Linked DNA regions of Drosophila melanogaster. The protein of the gene in region 2 interacts with the protein of the main gene of each other region in a biochemical or structural test. Each region holds a gene or a part of one and is shown on either strand. Other genes may lie near its edges. The genes, in order: Chro, His1:CG33825 and Taf1.

Region 1 (7,896 bases), on a different chromosome or scaffold from region 2:
GCGAGCTCTAGACAAAAGTGCGCCAAGTTCGCATGAAGCGGCACAGAGAGCCTATGACCAAGTAATTAGCAATACAATTGAGAGGGTCTCACACAACGGCCATAATAATGCTACGCTCGCCTTCACAATTATTAAGCATAAAACCAGATTTTAATTGATACAACTCATAACCACCGTTTCGAAACGAACTGTATTTTGTTTGCCCCAAATGCGTAGTTATGTGGAAGTTCGAAATATCTATCTATAGAAAGTCAGTTACATCCCACACTGGCCGCGCTGCTTTGAGGGCCCTGGGTGTGCATCAACCTGGTCAGACTTGGAACTTTGCTGGTAAACCAGACCGTCTACGCCGGGAATGGTGTTGCATCCCACGCAGGCGTGCAATGTGTCGTGAATGAAGATGTCGCAGTCAACGCAGAAGAACTGCTTGCAGAAACCGCATCTGAAGACGACTTTATCGGCGACCTTGTCAACGCCTTGCCCAAGAGCTTTGGCGCAGCCGTAACATTCCCTGACATCGCTGGTGAGGTCGGATGACGAAGCAGGCATCGCCTCAAACGGCAGTTCCTCAAAATTTGGCACCGGGAAAAGGTGGTGGTAGGAACGCGCCAAGTGCGGCGCGGAGACCAGGGTGAGGCCGCAAGACTGGCACTCCACGGGCAGCTCGCAGTACTTGCTGTTGCATTGCGGGCAGTGGTGGCCAGTAGTGGTCAGTTCACTGGGCTCCTCCAAGTTCTCTATGTGGCACATGCACATGGACAATGGCGCGTCCTTGCCCTCAACTTCATTCTTTGTGTGCGGGAAGCCCATGCGAATAAGCGAGTTGTGCTGAGTCTTAGCGGCGGGCGGTGGATCTACCTGAGACATGAGTTGATCCCGAAAATGTGCATCATCCAAAACAGCCCCGAAGGTGCCCATTGTTTGCTGAGTGAGGTAGCGGGCCACGTGAATCTCAGCGGACAGGGAAATAACCGAGCAGCGTATGCCCTCCTTTTTTAACTCGTCGATGGTGAGGTTAATATCGACAGGATCACATGTGGTGAGCGAGCCCATGATAATGACGATCTCTCGGGAGGCGTGCGACGGCACCACCTTAAGCGATTTTAGGGCCAGATCTAGGCCATTTTGCAGCGAAGGCTCGCTGGTCAAGGACACGTTAGCCAAGCTAAACAAAAAGGGGATATAAATGGAGAACGCTGGTTTGATTCGGTTCTTACCTCTCTAGCGCTTTGAGGTGCACGCGCGAAGTGCCGGTAAGTTCGGTCACCTTCTCCGCTCGCTTAGCTTTTAGCGCTATGAGTCCTAATTGGCTGATGGGGTTCTGATCGAAGAACTCCTCGATAAACAGCTCCAGCAGCTTGACGGTGCACCGCAGTCGTGTGGGTTTCAAATCAGGCACGCTCATGGACTCAGAGCAATCGAGCACAACGAACATGTGGCGCATCATGCCCAGGCGGTTCTGCTTGGACTTTTGAGCCTGCCTCTGGCGTTTGGCCTTCTGAATGATCTCTGCAATGGCTCCATCCAGCATCCCATCCTCGTCGTCCTTGATGGCCTCCCTAATAGGATTAAAAGTAAGTGCGGGCTTACATTGTCACGCACACCATCGCACCATGTCTTTTCATAGCCCGTTTCCCAGCGGTACTCCTTCTGGTCCTCTTGCTCATCGTCGGCCATACTTGCAGTCCTGATGCACTACCAAGTCAAATCAAGAAAGAAAAGCAATTAACGCTAAATAAAATGCGCCGGCTAATGTAACAGTGTGTACACACAGGGCCTACGTTAAATACAATACACTGGGTGGCAACCCTGGGTAAGTATTTATATCAATAAATATCTACAAAAGAATGACATAATAAAATGAAATAATAAAAAATAATTTCGAATTTCTTACCTAATATGAACAAAAAAAGTACAATATTATTATTATTGCGCCCAAAGTTGCCACATCAATAAATATACCCACCACGACGCGTAATTGGCTAACTAAGTGCACCGCCACACGGGCGAACTGAAAAGGGCGCTACACCCTAAGTTTGGGCACTTAAAACCGTGCAAGCATTGAAACCCGCGTTTTATATCATATACTATATTCGAAAAAACCTTCGAAATCTTAAAATTTACTGGACTGCAGTTAGTTTAAAGCTATCGACAGGCAATACACTCCCAGTAATATTAGGATTTAAATAGCTTAGCACAGAAGAGCATTCTAAGGTCCGCACAGCCGGAACCAAATCATCTCTGGACAATTTCCGTGCAGCCGAATTTCGCTTTTGGCATTCAGAGTTCGCGCGTACAACTGTGAGCAGCAGTGGAGCTGCTCGTGTTGAAAAATCGGGAGTCAGTTAAATTAAAATAACCGTTTGAAACAACATTCAGTTTGATATTTATCCAAAATTGTTTATGAAGGTGTGTACCAAAGTGTTCTAGAGAAATCTTTTAATTTAATGATATGTGGAATAGGCTTATTTGCAATCATACCTGGCCTATATCTAGTGCCTGCAAGGTTTAGCGGGCAAAATGAAATTGTGAACTTTGATATTATTTAAACTATATGTAATCCTTTTTTTTAAATGAAAACAAATAGGATCGAACCATAGGGTTTTATTTATTTTAATTTTTAGCTGTGTTGAAGTTCAAATGCATTTGTAACAGATAAGTTTAAGTAACTAATAAAGTCGCATTACGCATAGTTCGTGCTTTTCTGTGTTTTATTATATTATATATCTACAACAGTGCGGCAGGCTCGTTCTTTTCATAATGTACTTAGTGTTTTTTTTCGGCTGCCTAAGCGCCGCTGCATTTTGCCCATTGCAGATGTACATATGCTTGAACTCACCATATCGGACACACACCGCAGACAGCGACCGTTCGCGTTGCCACCTGGTTCAAGTTAGCACAAACACACCACGGCACTGTACTTTTTCTTCGCCGTTTACCAATATTTCAAAACCAAGCAATAACAAATAATAAGACTCCATTCAGCACTATTTTTAAGTCACACTTTAAATGCTCTCTTCAAAGGCTTGGGCGCTGGAGTCGTGAATAATGTTGGCACAGGAGATTTCACCTACGGAAATCGGCAAACACGCAAACATTATAAGAGGTGAGTGACTAAAAACATTGGTAAATAATTTTTATTGTTAATTTTGTGTTCTGCCCTGCAGCTGCACAGGAGGAATTGGCAAACATGGACGTTCTTGTATGTGGACGATGTCTCCGGGCCTACAACTTCGTGGAAGAGTTTCAGGCCCACAAAGAGGACGCCTGCGAAAAGGAAAATGCAAATTTGAAGGAATCGCTCGATCCCAAGCCCACCATCTGGGCTTTTACGCTATGGAAAGCTACTCAGCTGCACTCGCGCAAGGACGCGTCCGGCAGCTCGTGGGCCTTGTACCAGCATTGGGTAAAACTAGACGATAGCGTCCGCGAGCCGTGGATTGTGGCTGGGAAGACCATACAGTCATTCGGCAAAATTGCACACGGACAACTCCAGGACATGCCTGTGCGAATAACAAAGACTGTGGTCAATCCAAACAATAACAACACATCAAATAGCAACAACAACAACACGAGCGTCTCCCCTACCAGAAGTAATACAAAACATTCTAAATAAAAGTCACACTTGTTATTAAACTATATTTAAATCAACAGAATCACCAACCGGTAAGCTGCCTACGTTAGCCAATCAACTAAAGGATACAGAAAACGAAAGACCCAAGTCCAAGCCGAGTACACCAACGCCTTCCTCAGTTCCCTCTGCCGGAGCCGTGAAGCCGAACAACCGCATAGCCATTAGGATCGATTCCAAGACAGATCAGCGCACCGAAGAGCCAGTGGAAAAGATTGTCGCTAAGCGCTTCAATCCGCGCCGTAAGACCCACGAGTATTTGGTTAAGTGGGTTGATCGCTCGCATCATGAAAACACCTGGGAGGTGATGGCCAATCTCGAGCGTGTGCCATACTTTTTGCAGATGTTCGAAAAGCAATTGGCACGCCAAAAACTTACTAGGGAGAAGGGTCTGGATGCTCTGAAGCGCATGCAGTCATCAGGGACAAACGCAAAGTCAGATACTGCCGCCCCACACAGCCCACTTCCGGCGTCGTCGCAGGTATCGCCGTCTTCTCGGCCATCTCGAACTTCCAAGACCAAGGCTATGGATGCCTTTAAGCAGTGGGTCAATGAAACCGTTGCCGGAGATGGATCCTCCTCGCCTTCCTCGGCAAACGAAGATGAATCCTCCACGGAACAGGAATGGCCACCATCTTCTGGAGCGATCAAGCGAAAGCTGAACAATACAGACTCAAGTTTAGAGGGGAGCGGGTTAAACGACTCGATGGACCTAGAGGACCTTGAAGAGGATCTTCCGTCCCATACCGTGAAGCGTCTAAAAAACGGAGGAAGCTCCGTGCAGTTGAACAAGCCACGGATTCAGTCCACGGAAAAGCAGCAGACTAAAATTAACGGCAATTCCACCGTGGTATCGCCCCTAACGGAACAAAAAATGGGTGAAATCATCTATACTGAGGATAGCACGAGCTCCGGCATGTTTCGCAAGCCCGAGATGCCAAACACAATAAATTTGGTATTACGAAATAATGCTATTTCTACGCAGCAGCCAATTAATAACAATGATCTTAATTCGTTGCAGAAAAAGGAGAAACCAGAGTGTCCCGTGCGGTATCTTTCGCGCTCCGAGGTGGGCAGCAGCACAAGAGGCGTTTTTCGGGTTGAAAATTCCGAGGCACCGGCACCCGTTTCGCCTGCACCCGTTCCGCAAAAAGTGATCGCTGCGCCGCCCGCCGCAGGCATAGCCAAGCGTTTGCCAATGGCTCGTCCTGCGCATTCGGGCGCTAACTCGCCCATCACTGTGGGCCAGCGACAACACGCGCTTCGAACTCCCGGCCACGGCCCTGTAACAGCAGCACTTCATCGCCGTCCTGGAGTGGGTGGTGCATCCCATGTGCGTCAAAACTTGCAGCAGGCGCCCGGCCGGGCTCACCCGGGTGGTCGAGTCCTTGCACGAGCCGGTGTCGGAACTCCGCAACATCGCCAACAAGTACAAACTCCTCAGGGTGCCAAGGCAGTTACGCCAGAGCAAAAGATTTTACAGCTGTCAAAGTCAGGGGACTTGAAAGTTACGCGTAAAGTAGTGACCCGGGAAGAGTTGTTGGCTCAGCGCTCTGCCCAGGCACGCCAGCGACAGGCTCTGTCTCAGCAGCAGTCCAGTCAACAACAGAAAGCGACTCCTGCCCGGCAAAGAATAGTTTCCAAGTCAACAATCCAGCCAACGCCCCTGCAAATGGAATTGGAGGAGGAGATTCATCAGCACCAAGCTCAGTTGTGTCCAATCACCGGCAAGCTTATTGGTCAGGAGGAGACCCAACTGCAAATGGAGCAGGAGCAACAGCAGGAGCAACAACGAGAGCAGCTAGAAGCCGCGGCACAGGCCCTTCTGGGCAGCGATCAACAAGTTCTTACCAACGAGGACGGCTCGGCCTTGCTGGTGCGAGGAGAGGACGGCACTGTTTACCAGGTAGCGGGAAAAAATGCGGAGGGACAAACTATTCTCGTTACGCAGGGCCCGGATGGAGAACAGCAATTTGCGTACGTGGCAGCCGCAGAGGGAGAAGACCAGGATGTTCTTTCTCTGGACCACGCAGTGGCCGAAGCCGTTCAAGCCGGTGAACAGGTCGAGTCTCACGGCGTCGGAGCAGCTACGGCGGACGGTGAACAGATTCTCGTGTCCATGACAGAAGAGGAGTTGGCGCAACACCAGGTGCTTCAACAAGCGGAGGCTTCTGCCGCTGGAACGGGAACGCCACCCACAGCTCAGATCCATATCACGACGTCAGACAGCGATGGCACGGAATCCCAGATACCAGCGGAGGTGGTACAGGCAGATTTGCCTTCACCGGGTAAGTCGTGTTTTTCATAAAAATTTGACAAGGCCAGCTTCTTGTGTTGGCTTTTATATCCGTTACTCGTAGAGTAATAATAAAAGTTCATAACAGGTAGAAGGAAGCTTTTTGAAGATATAAAGTATATATTTTCTATTTATAATCAGGATCAATAAGCGAGCAGATCTAGCGTTGTCTGTCTGTATGAACGTAGAGAACTGAATGATTAAGCAGGGATATATATTCGCAGCGCAAGTGCGTTTGTTTCTCGAGGGGTAGATACTATCAGATGATAGTCGATAGCATTTTCTTGCTTTTCTTCTTGCAGAACTATACATTGGGTAGCTTTTTTATAAATCGGAATTGCATAGAAAATTATAGCAATATTTAGGGGATTATTCTTCAAAAACTAACTACTTGTTCATTTTCTGTTTTTTTTCAGGAGGTACACGTCGCGTTGTTTTGTTGCTTCAGGATGGAACCTTCATGATGACTGAGATGCACGAAGATCAGTTTAAGACGCTCAACATCCCAACGTAAAATCATGTTAATAGTATCCGTACATATAATTAGGCTTAGTTCTTAAGACTATTATATTGAAAGAACCTGACGTTGGTGGGTTCTTCCCATTTCCACTTTTGTTTGGTCCTAGCCAATCCATTCTCTTGGCCATAAGTATGCACCAGCACTGACTGAGAGCCGTGTTTGGCGAGTAGTGAATATTATTCTGGCGAAAGCATACCGGGAACCAGAACGCTAAACGTCTAGCGAAACAATAATGCTGCGCCGGGGAAACAAAAGGCATCGAACGATGAAATAAATTATGCGAATACCTTATTTAAAACATTATTTTATCGTGGGAGTCAAGCAGTTTTACGATAATTATCACTGCAGTCAAGGTGAGAGATTCCGCCAGCGTTAAAAGCCTTCATCGATGTTCTCATCATATTTAGTAATTTCCTCAAGCACAAACAAAACATGCATTTATCGGGGTCCCATCAATGATTGGTAATATTTTTGACTTCCTTTTAACTTACAACTCGTAAAATCATTAAGTAAATCTTTGTCGTAGAAAGTTTTAAAGTTCCCGAAATGCATAATTTTGCTTTTAACAAGAATCGTTAAATAACAATGACGGACTTAGATTTAAGTAAAATTACATTAGTTATGAATTGTAAATTATTTAAGTTCTTTTTAACTCGAAAACAAAAAGATAACATTATGTATCTCCATTAAGATAGCACAAGCAGCTATGGGAGAGCAAAGCCTAAATGTTATCAGACTGCATTTTTCAAATGCTTTTCTAAGCGTAGGGTTGAAATTTTCTTGATCAAATACCACTAGCGTAGGTCTCACTTATATCACTCATAAGCCGGCTTACTTTTGCAAATCAAAACGAATGTTTAAATTATCGAGCCCAATAAACAAAAAATTTCAGTGAAGTTGAATTTATTTATATTTTCTGAAACTTCGCAATAAAAAAGCCCACAGTGTCCGCATTTGCTCCGCTTGGACCGAAGCGCTGCAACAGACGAGATTTACATGCCTCGAAACCGGGAAGCGGAAGTCCGGGACCGCCCCACCGGGGAGTGGCATCTGTTAGCCGCAGCTCGACAAATTTTCTTAGTGCCCAGGCCACAAGACATTCGCACTCATCCTCGGTGACGGTGCACGTGCTATATACAAGGATGCCGCCAGGACGAACGAGCTGCACTGCCTGTTCAAATAGCCGGCGCTGAATATGGGGATATGAGGACAAGACCTTAACCTGTTTAATGCTGCAGGACAACTGTGGCCGGTTGCCCAGCCCACTGCAGGGTGCATCGAGCAAGATTCGGTCAAAGCTTTCACATGGAAACGGAGGCCCAGTGAATTCTCCCACGGGTGCAGATGGAGCGTCCGCTGCCACTGCCTCGGTGGAGTTAAAAACATGCGCCGTTATGCTTTTGTAGTGTCCCAATTTGGGCAGCATGCTGCGGACGCGACTGGCCGAAT
Region 2 (3,542 bases):
ATGAGCATAATGAACAGCTTTGTAAATGATATTTTCGAGCGAATTGCTGCCGAAGCGTCTCGTCTAGCTCACTACAACAAGCGCTCGACCATCACCAGTCGGGAGATCCAAACGGCTGTTCGCCTGCTTTTGCCTGGAGAGTTGGCCAAGCATGCTGTCAGTGAGGGAACCAAGGCTGTCACCAAGTACACCAGCTCTAAATAATTTTCTCCTGCGAATGCGGACAATAATCCAAAACGGCCCTTTTCAGGGCCACAATGTGTTATACCAAAGAAATGCATTTTTCAACCACCAATCATTGAATATGAATTTACAAATAAAACTTATTTACCCGCAATATGGGTAATTGGGTAATGTTCAAATAAATACAAAAAAATCGGGAACGAAAACTGAATGCGACCAACATGCAATGTAATTCATGACATGAAACGTTTTATTGTTGCTGCGAACGTCAGCTAATAAATAAGTGGAAGAAAATAAAAGTTTTTTTCTCTTGCAACGGAACGTTGTAGCCCTGAAAAGGACTTGTTTAAACAAATTTCAGATCTATAAAACATAAATCTAAAATTTTAATTGCGAACATGTACCAAATACTGCACTTTTTCACAATTTACTTTTTGGCAGCCGTAGTCTTCGCTTTCGGCTTCTTGGCGGTAGCAGAAACCGATGCTTTCTTCACCGTCTTTTTGGGTTTTGCAGACACCGCTGGCTTTGCCTTTGACGCTTTCGCTACTACAGCCTTTGGCTTCGCTGCAGTCACTTTCGCCTTTGTTGCGGCGGGCTTCGACTTTATGATTCCAGTTTTCTTGGCATCCTTGGCTTTTGCCTTCTCAGTTTTCTTATTTTCGGCAGTCTTTTTGGTAGCCACAGCCTTCTTAGCTTTGGGCTTTTTGTCAGCAGCCCCAACGGCAGTTTTTTTGGAGGAGACACCAATCTTCTTAGAGGCTACCTTCTTGCTTTGAACTTTTTTCTCAGCAGACAAAACCTTCGACTTTGCCTTCGGATCCTTTTCCTTCTTGGCAGAGGCCGACAGTTTGAAAGATCCAGATGCACCCTTTCCCTTAGTTTGGATAAGCTTTCCATTGACCACGGCCGATTTTAAGTACTTCTTGATGAATGGCGCTAACTTTTGGGCGTCGCATTTATAAGTGGCAGTGATATATTTTTTGATTGCCAGAAGTGATGAACCGCCACGTTCCTTTAAATTTTTAATGGAAGCGTCCACCATTTGCTGAGTTGGCGGATGTGACGGCGTCGCAGAGGCTTTCTTTGCCTTTGTGCCAGCAGATCCAGATGCCTTTTTTTGGACCACTTTCTTCTCAACTGTCGCTGGTGGGGCAGCCACTGGGGAAGCGGACGTTGCAACTGCAGAATCAGACATCTTTTTTTCACTGAGAACACTTTTTTTCTGTTAAAAATGGCTCGCGCTCGGCCTACCAACCTCCTTTGCTCTGATGAGAATCGAGGAGGAGAGCACTTTAACAATGCTACTGACATCAGTCATTTACTATGTCGAAGTTTGCTTGAAGTGTAAACTCTTTTTAATTTTTTAGTATTTTAAATCATTAATAAAAATAAGGTTTTAATAGTTTTACAATTTTAAATAATTTTTTCGTCACTTTCCATTTTTAAAAGGATGTAATATGGGTTTTGAGACTTTCAAATGTTGATTGAATTTTTATATTCGAATTTTTAACTGGACCAATTTATAAAAAAACATCTAATAAAATAAGAATCATCGCAAATATTTCACTAATTCGTAATGTTTATTAAAATTGAAACGTTCATCCCCTAGAAAGGGCTTCTGAAAGAAGCGTCTATTATTAATTAAGATACTTTATCACTTGATTTAAGTTCACATTGAACTACAGAAAAATTTGCTTTAAAGCAGCATTCAGAAATAATTTTCGATCGTTAAAAATACAGATACTTTCTTAAATAACATAATATTAATATAATAAATAATATTTTCTTAAATTATTAATGTGTTTGCTTGTTATTAATGTGTTTTCATGCATATTTTAAAATAATTTGTTCTGAAATCAATCGATTTCCTCGCCACATATGCATTACCGTCTATGTAGTCAAATAAATAAATCAAATAAAAAATAAAAAGAAACAATTTTTGTATTATCCTTTATTATGTAATATATATTACATTCCGCAACAAAATTAACCAATTTCCGTGCTGAATTTTACATAGGTTTTATTTTTTACAGACGTTTGAAGGGACAGTGTCAATTGTCCCGTACGACCTCTTCAATAATAACACATTCTTCAGTTAACACATGGAAAAAATATAAAATAGCTAGTTTTATTTTATTATTTTCTGTTATTTTATAAATATTGCCGTCATCAATGTAATTTCATTAATTTCAAACTGTCTTACACAGAATTCAGATTTTTTTTTTAGATGTTTAAGGTTCAGAGTCCCTTGCCCCGCACGACACTTTCACTGCTTTAAAGGATGTTCGCACAAAGAACAAATAAAAATATATATTTTTGTATTAACCTCTTCTTTAATTTAATAAATGTTGAGCTGACAATTAAAATAAGATTATTTTTATTCCTTCTCTGGCAGAATTAGTATTTTTACATATGATTTAAGACCCAGTACCGTTTGCGCCATAAATAATAGAATATGAATTTTGTTCTTATTTTTTTAAGTTATAAATAGTCGGCCACAGAAAATTTTATCTCATTGAATCTGGTTTGTGGTCCTGAAAAGGACCGATTATAGAGTACGCTAGCGCTTTATCTGCAAGTTAATGCCGTGTCAGCTTAAGCACGCTCGCCGCGAATGCGTCGCGCTAACTGGATGTCTTTGGGCATTATGGTGACACGCTTGGCATGAATGGCACACAAGTTGGTATCTTCGAAGAGACCAACCAGGTAGGCTTCGCTAGCTTCCTGCAGAGCCATAACCGCCGAGCTCTGGAATCGCAAGTCCGTCTTAAAGTCTTGAGCGATTTCACGCACCAGACGCTGGAAAGGCAGCTTGCGGATTAGAAGCTCGGTGCTCTTTTGGTAGCGACGAATTTCACGCAAGGCCACGGTTCCAGGGCGATAGCGGTGGGGCTTCTTCACACCTCCGGTGGCTGGAGCACTCTTGCGAGCGGCCTTAGTAGCCAGTTGTTTGCGTGGCGCCTTTCCACCAGTCGATTTGCGAGCAGTTTGCTTGGTACGAGCCATCTCCGATTTGGGTTTCACTAAAGTTCACGTTCACTACTTCACGTTTGAAAACACAATAAACGATCAGAGCATTTGCTACCTACTTATATAGCAATCCTGGACGGTGAAAGAGAGAGAGAGAGAGAGAAAAACAGAGGCCATTTCATTTGACGAGCGAAAAGCGAACGAACATATCGTTCGTACTCTCTCGGGTTTTTGTCGTTTTACCTATAAATAGGGGCACACAGAAACGTTGAAATTAGTTCTTTAGTGACTTTCGTGCTGTGCGTGTATAATAGTATAGAACAGTGAAAAATGACTGGTCGTGGTAAAGGAGGCAAAGGCTTGGGAAAGGGTGGCGCCAAGCGTCA
Region 3 (5,120 bases), on a different chromosome or scaffold from region 2:
AAATCGTTGTGAGCCATCTTATGTGGATAAATAGGCGCTCGGTACATGTTGTTCTCAATCGCCTGTATGCACTGGCCAGGATGCAGGATGCCCAGGAAGGGACTTGTGTGCGCAAAGGCCACTTCTCCATAAACAAAATCCTGCGGCCCACTGTCCTTCTCAGCCTTACGCTTGTAGTAGTTCTTTATCTTGGAGCACATGCCCACCTGGTTTATCAGAGGCGGATGCTCTTCGCAGAACTCGGCTAGTACGATGTCTCCGTCCCTTCCGCTTAAATCCTCTGGGTTGCGCATAAAGAAGACGTCTCCGCCACCGGAGGCAATGCGCTCCACTTCGCGCTGCTTCGCCTTCTTTGCGATGGTCTTCAGCAGTGGGAAGACAGGATGAGGGATAGACTGGGCCATTGGCCCGTGGGAGTACTTCTTTAGGGGGGGGCGATGGAAGGCGCGGAGCTTCATCGGGCCCATGTGCGTAGGCACAAACGGAGCTCGCAGCTCTACCACCGGAGTCGAGTGTTGAATAAGATTACCGCCCACCTTAAGTCGTAGGGTGGGTTCTGTCTTCGGTGTGTAGTAACTGAAAGGGAATTAAAATCTGCATTCTGCATCCATTATTATATTAAGAGACTTACGTGTCATTGGATATGTTAAAGGGGTCACGGTCAGGACTTTTGGGTGGCGGCGGAGGTGTGTCCTCCGCAAGCACGTTGATCACACCCGCCTTGCCAAGTAGGATCTTAGACTTTTTTACGTGAGGATGCGGTATCTTGATCTTAGGTGGAGGACCCGTGCTCTTATTGATTTTAGAGGGATCTATGTCATCAGGAATACCCAAAATGATGTTTTCGTCGTTGGGATCCAAAGTGAGTACCTTCGGCTTGGGCACCTTGCTCACTTGCTGGGCATCCCAGATTACCTCGTCCTCCCACTTGTAGTATATTAGCTCCTCATTTTCAACTGGAAAAAGGCTATACCAGGTGTCATCAGGTGCCTCCGCTGGCTTTGCTTGAGCACTAAAATCGATTGAAATATTAGTGTAAAATACGTATGAATTCAACTTTCAATTAATTACTTTTGCTGGGCCTTTTTGCTTGATGCTCCCGAACCCTGCTTGGAGCTTCCACTTCCCACGGGCATAGACGGTTTGCCCGGCTGGCTAAAGGCGCCAGCCGTTCTCGACCCGCTCGAGGGCAACCATCCGGCTGCATTTGTCTTTGAGTTAAGCTTTTGGAGCACCTTTGCCTTGATGTCGTTACCGTCCCAGACCACGTCGTCTTCCCAATGCAGCTGGGAGACCATGAGAAAGGCATCATCCGCAATGCTTGGATCTTCGACATCATCTTCTGGACTCTTTACACGGCGTTCATCTTTGAGTTGCGGCTGAGACGAGGTGCTTGCTGCCTTTGTCTTGAAGCCATAGTTGAACCCCTCTCCAGAGTCGGGCACCTCTAGCATATCATACCAAATCTGTGCAGGCCCGAACCGCCAGTCAGCCACCTTTGGCTTCTGATCGCTGTTCTCGCCGTTGTCCGGTCCTTCTGGACGCACATCCTCGCTGTTGAAGTCGCCCAGCAATTTGTCCTCGTCGTCGGACATGCACTCCGCTGGCGTTGGCTCTGCAGCATAGTGCAGACTGAAGCCCCGCTTTCGTGGCTCCTCAGTATCGCTTGGAGAGTCCGAACCACCAGTGTTTGTCGTCTGAAATGGTTTACGAAAAGTTTCCTGGTGATCCCGTCCCGTTTAAAAGTACTCTGATCTTCTACCTTCTGATCCCTGGATTGATTTCGCTTGCGGCGGCGTTTGCGCACGTGTCGCCAGATCTGGGGCAAACTCGTGGGTTTACCGGGTCCGAAGAGACGGGAGAAGCGTAGCACCTTTTGGGGACGAAAGTCCGGAAAGAGCTCACGCACATCCACATTCTGGTACTTGGACGGCAGTATGTCTGCCAGTGGTGTGTCCAGCTTCCGATCCGCATCTTAAAGGAATGACCATTGACAAAAAAATTCTATTGTTTTCAAATAATTTTTACCCTTTGAATCGGTAGATTTGGAATCGTCACTGGGACTAGATGCATCATTTGACTTGGCCGGTTCCTCGATGCCGCCGCCAGAGCCGGAGCGCATTGGTGCACTTGGTGGAGGCATTAGTTCCTTGTCGTCCTTAGCTGCAACAAAATGTGAGTTATTCTCTCTGTATAGCAATAGGTCTGAACCCAACCTGAGCGGTGCAAAAGTAATCGTGTCACTTTGACAGGAATTGCATAGACCTTTAAAAATTTGAGCAATATCCTCTCCTACCAGTGTTAACTGGTTAAATTAAATGTCATCAAACCGTTGTAGATTACGGTCTTACTTACTCAACTTGGCCTCTACCTTGGAGGCGGGAATGGCGTCTTCTAAGTCATCATAAGTGCTTGTTTCTTCGGGCGGAGTGCGTGGGCAGTCCTCGGATAACTCGGTGATGTCAGAGTAGTCAATGGCATCGTCCTGAGCCTTTACGGCGCCATCCTCCCTTTTAACGCCCGCTTTGAGCGCATCAAAGGCACTCATTCCTTCGCTGGCACTGACGGCTGACGGTCTGGCGTCCTCCTCTTCCTCGTCATCCGACGGAGGCTCGGCTTCCTTGAGATCGATAACCTCGAGCAGCATAGAATCCAGACCCAATCTGAAAGTAATCCATACGCAATATGAATGGAAATGTAATTAAAAGTGTCTTATATCTTGTGAATTAAGATATATTTGAATGATACCGGGTTTACATATGTATGTACAAGCATGTGTACTCACTTGGAAAGGGAACCAATGTTTTCCCGGAGCTCCGCATCGAAACCGGTGCCCCCGCGCCCCTCTCCGTCGTCATCTTGCAGCAGTCTGCCCTCGGAGTCGATGTTGCCGAAAAGAATGCCGGTCAAGTCCAATCCATTGCCGATCGATCCCTCATCGTCGCTGTTGTCAGATTCCATCTCCATTTCTATGGGCTTGCAATGTTTACGCGGCTAAAGTATATTTTCTTCGACGGAGTGTAATTGCATTTTTCACACGCGTAAGTGTGACCGTCGATGGACAAAGCAAAGATGCCTCATGGCTCCCCACTGGCACCAGAAAATCCGCGATTAGATTTGGACAAGGGTTGGGAGCTTGGGAAGGTCAATTGCGTTTTGTACCGAAGGTTAGTGTCCAACAAAAAGGGCTCTGTAATATTTTTAATTGGCAATTTTGTACCATGTATGGCATACGTGGATTTTTATTAAAAAATATATATTCCTTTGATATTCGTACATTTCATTTGTATAATTATATATTTCTGAATAGAACTTCTGTAAACACCATTAACACGATCACTTTTGTTCAGCTTCTATCAAAATATAACTTTATTCAGCCAAAAATAGTTTATTCAACGCTCATTGGAGAAAAAATGGGCATACATAAGCACTACAATGCCAATTTAGAATTACAGTTCTCAGACCTACATTTGTGTTACGGTTTTGTAACGTTGAAGGAGCTATATTTCTCTATTGTTGTTCAGATTTTACAGAAATCTGTAGCAAACAATCATAACTACTTCAGATAGCAAAAACTTAAACCATCAATTTTTATATATTTCTTATTATTCATTTTTTATTATAAATATATATATGTTTATTTTCAGAAGTCTCTTCTTAACTTGGTTTTACTCAAACGATTTTACCAACTGCGCTTTCTCTAGCTGAGAATCGTTTTAATGATAATCTCGAAGAGACTATCCACAACTTTGGGATTTGTACTGTCACAAATTGTCATATTTGTACCAAAGAACTGCATGGGAATGTAGGATTTTTATATGCAGGCTTTGAACTATTTGAACGGATTAAAGGAAGAGTACGCTGAGCTCACAAATTTAGTCACCTTCAAGAATCCGATCCTGAAACTTTTACATCAAATGAATCTATGGTTTTTCAATAGATTTTCGTTATAAAATGTATTTCTGATGATTAAACCGGCTGAAAATTCGTTTTCATGGCTTAAACTCTAAAGAATCATTTTAATTCAAGGCAGCATTTCTCTAGGACACAAACCAATGCCATTGTGTACATTTTTTTGCTAATCTCTTTCCGTGACCGACTTCATTGTACCTCAAATTAATTATATGTTTTATAACTTACCTTTACCAAGGCTTCTGTTCCCAGATATGGAAAACCACAAAGTGGGAAAATTTAAAGGTAGACTAGTAAAAATCGAATATTTTTTTGTGTTTCGTCTTTTTGGAATTTCCCTTCATTATAAAATGCCTCAAATTAAATTTTCGAAACTTAATTATCCACGCTGAATGAATGATATAATAAAAATAAATATACGTATATTTACGTATACCGACCGTGATCAGGACTTAAGCCACTTTGAAGCTTGGAGATGGGTGGCAAGTATTTACGCTGTTGCAGAAAGAATATGATCATTAAGATGAGAAAGTGGCTGCGAAAAGCAAAGTGAATCTTGTGTTTTTCAGTACAATCCCTCAGAATGTCGCACTTGATATTCGAGTTTTTGTGTAGGACGAGGACTAGAGGGTTACTGCCTGCGATAGCTTTTAGAAAGGTCTACCTAGAGGGGGAATATTTAATGGAATGGCTCTGGATATGCCATCTCCATGCTTAAAGAAATCTATAGTTCTTGTTTCGCTGTATAACGCACTGCTGTTACCTGTCACCAACACGATTATCAGGAGAACTCCATGACATTCCATACATGTGTTTACTAATATCCACATATAGATCGAGATTCGTGTCAGCCCGCACCAAGCCAAGTCCCGTCATTGGGACACGGTCGGACATGGCGGGGCATGGGGGGACATGGAGGGTCACACGTTCATACGGACAATATTGTAAAATTACATGAGATGTTTTTACTTGAGAGGGTATGTAAACTTAGCTTGCCTACGGTACAAAATTTCTTATCGTCCAATAAGGAAACAAATTCTAGTCGATTACCTCGACTATCAGATACTACGCAGCTAAATCAAAATATGGATGGAACATTGATAGATAGCAAAACTAAAATAAAATATTTTTTTCGAATTTGTTAGATTTTTGGCGTTTATCGACGTGTCCAAAATCTGTTTTGCCTAACCAAGTTGCTAAGATACTCA

Evidence for each region.
Region 1: the proteins of His1:CG33825 (region 2) and Chro interact in far-western blotting, tested with the Drosophila melanogaster proteins (one study listed by BioGRID).
Region 3: of the proteins of His1:CG33825 (region 2) and Taf1, one has a biochemical effect on the other in vitro, tested with the Drosophila melanogaster proteins (one study listed by BioGRID).

The regions. Positions count from the first base shown.
Region 1 is NT_037436.4:22,873,147-22,881,042, reverse strand, and holds Chro (chromator), read left to right. Parts: upstream 1-2,058; 5' UTR 2,059-2,409; intron 2,410-2,817; exon of another isoform or gene 2,818-3,024; 5' UTR 3,025-3,048; coding exon 3,049-3,106; intron 3,107-3,167; coding exon 3,168-3,593; intron 3,594-3,654; coding exon 3,655-4,586; intron 4,587-4,652; coding exon 4,653-5,919; intron 5,920-6,343; coding exon 6,344-6,441; 3' UTR 6,442-7,341; downstream 7,342-7,896. Other genes in the region: Ssl1 (suppressor of stem-loop mutation), read right to left, coding at 256-1,165, 1,218-1,559, 1,613-1,677; CG11109 (uncharacterized protein), read right to left, coding at 7,355-7,896.
Region 2 is NT_033779.5:21,469,257-21,472,798, reverse strand, and holds His1:CG33825 (histone H1), read right to left. Parts: upstream 1,541-3,542; 5' UTR 1,382-1,540; coding exon 611-1,381; 3' UTR 518-610; downstream 1-517. Other genes in the region: His2B:CG33894 (histone H2B), read left to right, coding at 1-204; His3:CG33824 (histone H3), read right to left, coding at 2,782-3,192; His4:CG33895 (histone H4), read left to right, coding at 3,487-3,542. UniProt on the Drosophila melanogaster protein: Histones H1 are necessary for the condensation of nucleosome chains into higher-order structures.
Region 3 is NT_033777.3:6,644,837-6,649,956, reverse strand, and holds the start of Taf1 (TBP-associated factor 1), read right to left. Parts: upstream 3,069-5,120; 5' UTR 2,968-3,068; coding exon 2,786-2,967; intron 2,664-2,785; coding exon 2,356-2,663; intron 2,293-2,355; coding exon 2,029-2,292; intron 1,975-2,028; coding exon 1,763-1,974; intron 1,698-1,762; coding exon 1,072-1,697; intron 1,013-1,071; coding exon 632-1,012; intron 577-631; coding exon 1-576. UniProt on the Drosophila melanogaster protein: TFIID is a multimeric protein complex that plays a central role in mediating promoter responses to various activators and repressors. Largest component and core scaffold of the complex.